Drosophila melanogaster: one gene and its partner. The protein of the gene in region 1 purifies or fractionates together with the protein of each later gene. This does not show direct contact. Each region holds a gene or a part of one and is shown on either strand. Other genes may lie near its edges. The genes, in order: fs(1)K10 and Pur-alpha.

What was found.
Region 2: the proteins of fs(1)K10 (region 1) and Pur-alpha purify together in Drosophila melanogaster (affinity purification with mass spectrometry, with the first as the bait; one large-scale study listed by BioGRID). This does not show direct contact.

The regions. Positions count from the first base shown.
Region 1 is NC_004354.4:2,240,118-2,246,656, forward strand, and holds fs(1)K10 (female sterile (1) K10), read left to right. Parts: upstream 1-2,020; 5' UTR 2,021-2,191; coding exon 2,192-3,487; intron 3,488-4,339; coding exon 4,340-4,435; 3' UTR 4,436-5,924; downstream 5,925-6,539. Other genes in the region: kz (kurz), read right to left, coding at 1-1,389, 1,451-1,642, 1,711-1,785; Or2a (odorant receptor 2a), read left to right, coding at 6,114-6,539. UniProt on the Drosophila melanogaster protein: May be involved in localization of sqd to the oocyte during oogenesis.
Region 2 is NC_004353.4:556,206-561,232, forward strand, and holds the start of Pur-alpha (Purine-rich binding protein-alpha), read left to right. Parts: upstream 1-1,810; 5' UTR 1,811-1,963; intron 1,964-2,017; exon of another isoform or gene 2,018-2,095; intron 2,096-3,458; exon of another isoform or gene 3,459-3,688; intron 3,689-3,889; 5' UTR 3,890-4,052; coding exon 4,053-4,095; intron 4,096-4,143; coding exon 4,144-4,206; intron 4,207-4,265; coding exon 4,266-4,378; intron 4,379-4,512; coding exon 4,513-4,615; intron 4,616-5,027.

The DNA of each region.
Region 1 (6,539 bases):
CTTAGATTTACGAATATTACGTATAACTCGTTTCATATCAAACTCCAGCTCCTTGGGATCCTCCACAGTCGATGCCGCATCATCTATTGTTTCCTCTTTTTCTTCCTCCGATACCTTTCCATTTTTAGCGACATCCTTGGTTGGCGCATGATGATACGGAAACGTACGTCGCAGCTTGCGCACCAGTTGGTTGACCTCCTGCTGTCCCGTCACAAAAATTAGTATGCCGCCTTCCGGAAGCTTATTATGGATTTTTAAGGTCTTGCGGTAAGCCTCCGCCACATAGTCATCAGGTGTGCGCTTCTGGAAGTGAATAGTCACCGGAAATTGTCGAGCCTCCACTTTAAGCAACGGTGGCGGAATCTTAAACAAGCGAGTATTCTCTGTAAAATCGGATACCCGCAAAGTGGCAGACATAATGATCAGCTTCAGCGGCTGCCCGCGTTTGTGACGCAAGGGCACGATCCTTGACAGGAGACCCACTAGGATGTCTGTGTAAACACTGCGCTCGTGCGCCTCGTCCAGGATGATCACTGAGTACTTACTAAGCAGAAAGTCAGTTTCGATCTCCTTAAGCAACACACCATCTGTCATGAATTTAATGCGCGTCGCTGGTGTTACGTTTCCCTCGAAGCGAATGAGGTATGACACCTCGCTCTCCGGCAGGTTCATCTCGTGGGCCACCCGCTTGGACATGGCAATAGCAGCCACTCGCCGCGGCTCCGTCACTCCAATCATCTTGTGCTGGGCATACCCCGCTTCGTACAGGAACTGCGGTAGCTGGGTAGTCTTTCCAGAGCCAGTCTCACCAGCCACGATCACAATGGGGTTTTCGTTGATTGTCTCCATCACCTGCTGCTCCTCCGCGAGGATAGGCAGTCGAAGACGGGCATTCTGAACTTCTGTTGTCCGATGTACGGGCACATAGACAGTCTGGTGGATACAGGCAGGTGGGTTAGGCTCTGGCTTCAACTTTTTAATGGGTGGTTTAACAGCGATTTGCGGTGGAGCTATAGACACTGGAGTGGGTATGGCAATAGGAGCGGATTGAGCTGGTGCCTCCTCATCGTCCTCATCAGAGGATGAAGAATCTTCGTCATCTTCCTCCACGCTAATTACATTCGGATTCTTTCGCTTGGCCTGTAGTTCCTCCTCCTCTTCGACGAGAAGCTTGCGCTTGGAGCCCTTTATAGCATTTACGCGGAGACCCGACGCCGAGCTTTTTTCAGCTAAAACTTGGGCCTGTCTTTCCTTTTTCTTGGCTAGATACTCGTCAAGGGTGGGTAGACGCTTTAATCCCACGGTTTGCACTTGGCTAATGGAAGTATACTGCTGCAGCTCCTCCTCCGGAATTTGAACGGCAGCAAGGTCACCCAACAGCTGAGCGCGCTAAATTAGAAAAGATTTCAATTAAATATCAGTTTTATATTAGCACTGAATAAAAACCTACACCCTCTTTCTTTTTCTTCTTGTCCACAATAGCCTGGAGGTGCTTGCGCTGCTTCTTGGAAAGGATCTTCACGTGTTGCACTTTGTCCACCTTAATCTTGGTGGCCCGCTTCTCGGAGGGCAGAACCAGAGCGTTGGCCTCATCGTAGCCAACCTGGTTGCCGCCGGCCACAGCATCCACATCGATCTGAATCTGTAGAGTATTGGATTTGGAAAGGGTAAGAAAGCGGATTCGAGTGTGTGGTCCGACGGATGACCTACCTTCTTCACGGCCGAGTTGTCCACAATTGTTTGTGGATTCTGCCGCGCCTTGGCATTGTGCACCTTCTTGCCCATGATTACTTTACTTTACCAATATAGTTAATAAAATAAAGTAACAGAATTAACTTTGGGCAATAATATAAACATTGATTTAAATCACACGTGCGAAGTACGCTTATCGATAACAGCGCAGGCGATAACAAAAGTTGAGATACTCTAAAATGTGCTGTGATGTTACATTTGTGTTAGTGGAAACATACATTAGTGGGAAAAACTGATTGTTATAGTTGTTCACACTCCTTCGACAGCACTGGTATCGAAACGTTATCGCAATCGATTCATCGTAATATTTTCAATATAAGTTTTTGTGACAAATAGGCGTGCAACATTTTAGATCCATCTGCTCCCCGCCTGTCGTTTCGGCTTGGCTCCTCTGCTCGAGTCCTGAACCCCCGTTTTCAGTGAAATCCAGCTACCTGCAATGGTGTCCAAGAACCAATTCTATCAGAACTGGACCATGCAGTCGCAGCAGCAGCACCCGCACCAAATGCAGCAACAGTTTCAGCAACAGCAGCAGCCAAATCTGCAGCACCGCAACAACCAGAGCAACAATAATAATTGCAACAATAATCCCCGCGCAGCTGCGGCTCCGTATAGAAAACCGTTTCGTTCGGGCAAAATTAACTCCGGACCAGGAGGAAATGGGAATGGTAACAGGGTCAACGGTAACAATCAGATGATGTTTTCCTCCAGCCAAATGCCGAGCGATCCCCTGTACATTGACTTCAGCAGCCCGCCACCAGGATTCAAACACAATCAGGTAGGCAGTCCCAAGAAGAAGTCTATGAAGGGCATCAAACAGCAGCAGCATCCCAGTCCGAACCAGCAGCAGCCTCCCAGTCCGAACCAGCAGCAGCATCCCAGTCCGAACCAGCAGCAGCATCCCAGTCCGAACCAGCAGCAGCATCCCAATTCGAACCAGCAGCAGCATCTCAGTCCGAACCAGCAGCAGGGCAAGATGAACAACCAGAACAACAATCATATGAACCAGTCGCAGCAGCCCTTCAACAATCAGATGAACGGAAGCGATTGGCAGCGCCATCCGGGCAACAATCCCAATCAGATTCGCGGTGGCTTTAATGGATTCCAACGCGGGCCGCCTCCGAACCGTCCTCCTCCACGCCTCATGATGGGTCCGCCAATGGGTCCGATGGGCCCCGGACCACGGGGACCCGGACCGATGGGCCCTGGAGGACCTTACCCGCAAATGCCTTTCCCGCCACCGGTGCCTGGTATGCGCGGTCCCGGACCCATGGGCCCCATGGGTGGACCACCACCGCCGCCGCCACCGCTCTTTATGCGTCGCAACGGACCCGGTCCAGGTCCTATGATGGGTGTCCCACCGCCCATGCACATGATGGGTCCACGGATGCCGCCGCGGGGAATTCCACCGGTCGGACCTTATGGACCAATGAACATGAATGGCGGCCGGATAATGAAGCCCAATCCCAAGCTAATCAAGCAGGTGGTGAAAGGCAAGAGCAGCATAAAGACACTAAAGAACCTGATCAATCAGTATCCCATCGAAAAGCCCTGGGTAACGGACGAGATACGCAGCGAGCACGACAAGAAGGTGGACATCGAGAACAGATTGAAGGGCCACAAAGACGACGAGCTCTTCGCTCAGTACAAGGGCCAGCGGGACAAGTTCGTTAGTCTCTACGAAGCGGCGCGGGAAGAGTATCTCAAGCAGGAGGCAGCCACTGTCAAGGCCAAGGTGAGCATATAGAGACCCCCCAACATATCCTTATTCCCTTGGAACAGGTGTCCCATCCGAAGCTCTATTCAGGGAGGCACACCGATTCCGGGTACAGTTTCGGCTTAATCCGGAATCACTTTGCACCCCTGATTTGATCCGTAACCCCCACCCGTCCCTCTTTGTTGCGTTTGCCGGGCGGTAGGAAAAAAATAAGAGAGCAGAGAAAGTGAAAAAGTAAGTCTCAACCTGATGCACTCTCTCGCATTATCCTGCAGTCCTGCGGAAGGTTGTTGTCATATCTATTTTCACCTTCGGTTGTTCCCTTGGCACTGATATATATCCGCAAAAGAGAAACTATTGGCATATATTTACAACCATAGATTTATTAGGAACTGAACAAAATTGTGTAACTATTTAGAACTGCAATACAATGTGTTTACTGCCACCTTGTATACAAATTTAAAAAACTAATAGAATTTTGTACTGTTCGATCGTGGCAGGCGTAGTAGATTCATAAATGCACTCTTAGTAACTTAATATTCTTAATTGAACGAGCCTCAGTACTGAATCCTATGGCTGTTTTCATTTTCCAATTTGGTTGGCATGTGAAAAGCGAACTTAATGAATTTTAAACTGCCAGAACATCAATTTAGTTACTTAATTAGCAGATATAACCCAACTTATGAAACTCATTGCATATGAAATGATAATGATTTGAGTGATTAATGTTCGTGGGCGTAGTTATCTGGAAATAGCCAAGAGAAGTTCGCAGAATGCATTTAATAGCGAAAACAGATCTGAGAGCTCTTTTTACACACTCAACAACCTTGCTATTGAACACCGTTGGCAATTCTCGTATTTCTTTTGCAGGATGCCAAGTCAGACAAAGACAAAAACGCAATTTCAAGTCAGAGCGCAGCCCCTAAGGCCGGAAGCGCTAAAGATGCAACAATTCCAAATCCCTAGGCAGCCAATGCAACCGAATCCGAATACCGAATCAATCGAATCGAACCGACTAAAGAAGAGGTCGGTCGACTCACAGAACTAAATGTAAACTTAAACTTTAAACCAATGAGCAATTCAAAACTAAAACTAACAGCGAGCAACAGCAAGAGTCTGACAATTGAAGACGAATATAACTCAAAACCCCGACTCCTATATCGGATATACGTATACACAATCGTAATCCGAGGAGGCGCCGCCTTTGTCACACGTTGCTTTTGCGACTGAGAACTGAGCTTAGAACGATAATGTAGCAACAAATACAAACCCAGCGATAATAATGTGGGCGAAACTCTAGTAATAGCGATAAAAATTTAGATTGCGAATCGATTCACTTGTCTAACGTAACCTAGCGTAACGTAAAGTAGAGTATTGAAATGTAACCGTAACGTAACGTAACGTACCAGTTTCCTATTCGAAAACTATTTGTTGTTCAATTCTAAGTTGCAGCCATTTCAAGTATGTGTACACAATTTATGACACGCCCTTACCTATATATGTATGCATATATATTGATATATATATATATATAAATTATTTTCCTATTCGTTGCCCGAGTGCGTGGGCGCGACATAATTGAAACAGAGTGGCCGGATCCTAAGCACTCTGGCATAAATCACACTGTAGGCCTTAGATTACACCACTTGATTGTATTTTTAAATTAATTCTTAAAAACTACAAATTAAGATCACTCTGTGAACGTGTGCTCGATGGTGTGCATCTACGGATTTGTTTTTGTGTTCTTTTTCCCCACCCAACCCCGTCCCTGACCCAATTCCGCTGTTCTCTTTACCGACTTGTAGATTAATCACGCTCTTGATCTTCATGACCGGATCCACCTGACAAGTAACGCCAAAGCAGCCCCACTTAGCGGAATAGTAGAGCCTAGGGGACCCAACGTAAAAACTCTAGTATAGCACCAATCTCCCAACCAGTTAACATTATACCTAAACCCATGGTCAAGAGTAAACATTTCTGCCTTTGAAGTTGAGAACACAATTAAGCATCCCCTGGTTAAACCTGACATTCATACTTGTTAATAGCGCCATAAACATAGCACCAATTTCGAAGAAATCAGTTAAAAGCAATTAGCAATTAGCAATTAGCAATAACTCTGCTGACTTCAAAACGAGAAGAGTTACAAGTATTTGTAAGGCACAGTTTATAGACCACCGACGGCTCGTTAGGGCTCGTCATGTAACTAAGCGCGGTGAAACCCAATTGAACATATAGTGGAATTATTATTATCAATGGGGAATATTTAACCCTCAGGTAGCAAAGTAATTTAATTGCAAATAGAGAGTCCTAAGACTAAATAATATATTTAAAAATCTGGCCCTTTGACCTTGCTTGTCAGGTGCATTTGGGTTCAATCGTAAGTTGCTTCTATATAAACACTTTCCCCATCCCCGCAATAATGAAGAATACCGCAGAATAAAGAGAGATTTGCAACAAAAAATAAAGGCATTGCGAAAACTTTTTATGGGGGATCATTACACTCGGGCCTACGGTTACAATTCCCAGCCACTTAAGCGACAAGTTTGGCCAACAATCCATCTAATAGCTAATAGCGCAATCACTGGTAATCGCAAGAGTATATAGGCAATAGAACCCATGGATTTGCCCAAAGGTAACCGAGACAATGGAGAAGCAAGAGGATTTCAAACTGAACACCCACAGTGCTGTGTACTACCACTGGCGCGTTTGGGAGCTCACTGGCCTGATGCGTCCTCCGGGCGTTTCAAGCCTGCTTTACGTGGTATACTCCATTACGGTCAACTTGGTGGTCACCGTGCTGTTTCCCTTGAGCTTGCTGGCCAGGCTGCTGTTCACCACCAACATGGCCGGATTGTGCGAGAACCTGACCATAACTATTACCGATATTGTGGCCAATTTGAAGTTTGCGAATGTGTACATGGTGAGGAAGCAGCTCCATGAGATTCGCTCTCTCCTAAGGCTCATGGACGCTAGAGCCCGGCTGGTGGGCGATCCCGAGGAGATTTCTGCCTTGAGGAAGGAAGTGAATATCGCACAGGGCACTTTCCGCACCTTTGCCAGTATTTTCGTA
Region 2 (5,027 bases), on another chromosome or scaffold:
GCCGAATCGACTACACACATACATACACACGAAGAATTGAAAGATTCTGAGGTTTTGTCATTTTAAAAAAATTAATGGTTCGAAGAAAAACCGGTGAAGATTAACTTCAGCCACAAAAATTATTAACAAATTTTGATTAGTTCTTTAAACTGTAAATTTCTGTCGCGTGTTTTGTCTGCAACGACACGTTTTTTAAATCCTATTTGTTTTCTGTCACACAGGTCGGTATTTTAAACATTAGTTGTAACCATTATGAAAAACTACGCTACTTCAGCGGGAAAGCGGCTATACATATGTAAATATACGAGTATATCCAGATTTTACCCTGTCTAAATCCCTCAAGTTAAACAGAAATTTCCCTTGGCGAGGAAAAAATCGGACTGACAACACCTTCAATTTCACGTTTAGATATTACGTTCTGCGACGTAAAATTGAGTAAAGCACTCTTATTTGCGGAGTGTTTGTCTTTTAGCTCCTAATATTTCAGTTAACAGAATATTGGCGTTCAAAAATAACATGTGGAAGCAGTTTTGAAAATCGCTGGGGCTATCAAGGCAGACCAAAAATTTTTATTTTTCGGACTAATTTTACATAACTTTTTCTTAGAAACTCCCTGTTCACGAAAGGAAAGAAAACAATATAGCAGCACTATCCTCAAGAATCTAGGATTCTACAGGTACGCACATGATTAAAGCTTGGAAGGGATTAGTCATTTTTGAGCCCGATAAGGCGGAGTTCCGACTACAAGGGCATTGTGATATATTTTAAAATAAGTCAAAATATACACAAATACGAATACGAATTAAAAGCATTGACAGGGTGTATTGTACATTTGCGCACATACATCTATAAGTGTATGTATCAATTTATTTTTACTTATACTATTCTTTATACTCTAGTCTGTGCTGTCCCGACAATTTGGATTCGGATTTACGGATACGAAATACAGTCCCGATACCAAAATAAAAGATAAAAGACTAGTCGCTACTCTTCTCGTTTTTTCACATCCATATATACACATCTATGTACATATCTGCTTTACATATGTATTTCTGTGGGTTCACAGAGATGCTGTTTCTGTTTTCGCTTTCCAAAGTGGATGTGGCAGATGGCAGCGAGAGGAACGGAGAATGACCATAAACGAGGAGAGAACTGAGAGACGACCAACAAAAATAAGTTTGCGTGTATTTGTATTTATGTAGAAAATGTGTGAGTATATAGGTGGTCATATACTCACGTTTCGCTCGACGGTTTAGGCACAGGATAAGTACGGGGGAAATCGCGAACACAGTACGTAACAGTTACATTTCCATCGAAGTAGCAATTGAAGCACTGCTCCTTAACTAGCGTTCGCAGTATGATGCACATTTTGCATAATTTCAATTTCGAATGTACATGCAGACATATGTATGTGCACACATGTCGTGTATGAATACACACACACCCGAAGAACAGTAGTATGCCGCAGAATTTATTAATTTGCCTCACAGCACCGTTGCACGTTTAGTCGTTAATTTAAATTCGCGATGTATCGGAATCAAAACAGAATTCTGGATGAGATTTATTATAATTTTCCACTTTCTGCTGCTCATGCACGACGAACCACAAACAGCAACCAACACCAATAACGCCGCAAATAGAAAGACTAGGAAAAAGGAGCTTTGCTGACTTATTTGCAGTTTATCGGAGCTTTTTCGGTCAGACGACGCGTTGGATGGGTTACGTTGTCTTTCGTTACGTGCTCGCAACGGAGCTCCGAGAAATTCCCTAACGCGTTCTGCCGGATTCTACACGTACATAGATCGAGCGTTCCTTTTGGATGGCTAGTCAAATCAAATCAAACTAGGCCATTTTACTCAATCTACACATAAACATTGACTGTACAACATGCTCAAGCTTTCGCTGTGACTCAAAAACACTCCAAAACTCGGATTTGCATCAGTCTTCCTACAAAGGCGTTAAGGTATTTCAGCTCTTTTGGGCTCCATTCCCCTCCGTTCTGAACCTACGAATTTTCAGTTTTATCCGACGAACAAATAAAATAAGGGAGTGTCGATGTCATTTGTAAGGGGCAGTGCGTGTGTGTGTAGATGTTGTACGTTTTTTATAATTTTTTTCTTCCTGGACTTAAGTTTAAGAACTTAAGTGCTAGAGTAAAAATACCCAGTGTTGCAGTAGGAAACAGTATAAAGCTCCTCCATTTATTTGCAGTTGGCTCTAGCACTCCTTTCATGAGCACTTACATATATTTTTAAGTGTGCATTGCTAATATGTGTACTTTTGGAAGCTCCATTTAAAAAGTTCCCACCTTTCGTATTTGGTGCACATTTTCCCAATTTATTACATAAACTGTTTTATGACAATGTTGAATTCAAGTTTGAGTTCCCGTATTCGCTCGTATTAGATGAATATGTATACAAAAATCAGCTTGCTAAGTTCAAATTGTGTGTGTAAAATGGTTTTACCCGTAGTGGCATACATACATACATACATATGTACACATGCAAAAACCTTGAAACTGTTTTCTTGGGTAGTCGAATCAATTCAACGAATGCGATGGTGAACAGCTGATACATGTCAAACACGTACTCATGCAATGTAAACATCTAATTCCTGTACTTAACGGGATATTAGTTTGTTTATACAAATTTATGAATTCCTGGACTGGTAGTTCACTCAATTGACAGGGAATTACACATAATTTATTGCCAGATAAATATAATGCCTTGGAAAAATTATTTATTTATGTATGTACAAGAACGTTATAAGCAGTTTGGAAAAAAGTAGACATGTTCAAAGTGTATGTATGTGCATATATGTGTGTACATATATATATAAATATGTACATAATATATATATTTATATATGCATTTACATTTATATGTACGTTACGTCCTATGACTTTACTTATGTACATATGTCTATACGGATTCTTCTTATTGTTTAAATTAATACCGTTTGGTAAAAAGAAATTTCAAACTAAAAGTGAATAAAATCTTTTCAAAATAAGTAAAGAAAAATTACATCAATATACATTTTAATGCTAAAGGTCATTGAACATTTTACAAGCTTTATGAATTTTAATAAATTTTAATGTAAAAAGTAAAAATTAATTCATGCCATCCTGAACAAGAATATATACATACATATTTACATGTATATTTGTAACTCTTTAGATAGATCTTGGCGTCACAGCATGATTAAACAAAAACAACTAACGAGGTATTAACTTCTGACGATTGAACAAAAACGAATATACAAAAATTCTGATTTGTACTTTTATAACGAAAAATTATTTTATATTCAACTAGGAAACTATAATATCTGAAGTATACTCGACACCATTTATCAATATATTTCGCTGGCCTTTCATGCAAGTGTTCCGAGAAAGCACGTAGAATATTAAAAAAAATATATTATGCTGTGATCGTTTTGGGAACGCGGCTTACAATTTTAAAATAGTATAGTATTTTCACTTTCACCGCTTCTCTTCCGAACGATATACACATGTAATGGTCTTGGATGCAAGCCCTTAAGTTTTTGCATCTGCATATGCATTTCATCATGTACATACATATATAGTTGTCGCCTTTGGACACTATCTTGCTGCGCAACGTCACTACGAGGACTTTCGTCCACTGTGATATGTTTTGGCAGGATATATGTATGTATATTAACATACAATATGGTAGGTACTATAGGTAAGATTGTTAGGTCGGTATATTTTTATTCTATGTAGCCAAAATTAGATCCTACGAAATTTACTCATATGATTTAGGTATTAAAGGAAGTTAGTAAACAAAAACGAATTTACAGAAAAAAAAACAAACACAGCTGCTGTGCTGCTACTCTACGATATTAATCATAATTATCTATATTATATTTAAAGCAGGGGAATGTTGTACACCGGACAAAAAGAATGGTTATACTATTAACTATATGCTGTCGTGTTGAGGCACAAGAGTAGTGTAACATTAAAAGTGTGTCGCTGAAAAGGAAGGAAGCGTAACTATCTACCAAGCTTCGAGATTTTATAAATAGGTGGTCTCGTAATGTCCGATTTGGGAAGTGGAGATGATGGCATCTCAGGATCAAGTAAGTGAGCCGCATATTAATAAATATATAACAACTTCCATATTTTAGAATATAATGTTGCAAATATGGAGGGTTCCTCAAGTAGGAACGACTTCGATTCTTCTGCTAAAGGTAAAAATGCCACATGTATAATTTATACTATCTGAACACGTCACATTCTTTCGCGTCAGGAGGAAGCGGCGTCGAACAGGAATTGGCTACGAAAATGTTGCAAATACAATCTAAACGATTTTATTTGGATGTAAAACAAAATAGAAGAGGCCGTTTTATAAAGGTTGCTGAGGTAAATCATCTGATTAGAATTTTGTTATCACTTCTATTTTATAAAGAAAAGCTTTTGTTTGATTTGTATAACAGCACCTTTTGATAAAATTCACAACCATGGAACGTTATGTATAACAGCTTTAAAAATTTCAGATTGGCGCTGATGGTAGACGAAGTCAAATTTACTTGGCTCTTTCAACTGCAGCCGAATTTCGTGACCATTTATCCTCATTTAGCGATTACTACGCTTCTCTAGGTATATACAGTCCCATTGTAAAATGTTTATTTTTATCAATATTATTTTAAATACGAAAACTTTACAGCTCAAAGAAGCTGGGTTCGGAAAAAATATAATTTTTGAAATTTGAAAGCTGGAATCGTTTGCCCATTTTTTGCCCAATTAGTTTTTTTTGCCCACGTCCAGTTTTTGAGATAAGAATTTTCGAAAAAGTTCGAAAATGTTCGAAAATCAAACATTTCGCTTTTTTCAATTTTTTTTTTTAATTGCAACAACATCGTTTGCCCACCCTTTAGAATTTTGAAAAAATGTATACTTTAGAAAATATAAGGCTTTAAAGTTTACCTCGGTCTAATCAGAGAGTAAATCGTTTGCCCATCTCTTAAAACCAAATATAATCAACAAAAAACGTTTGCCCAACCATTATTAT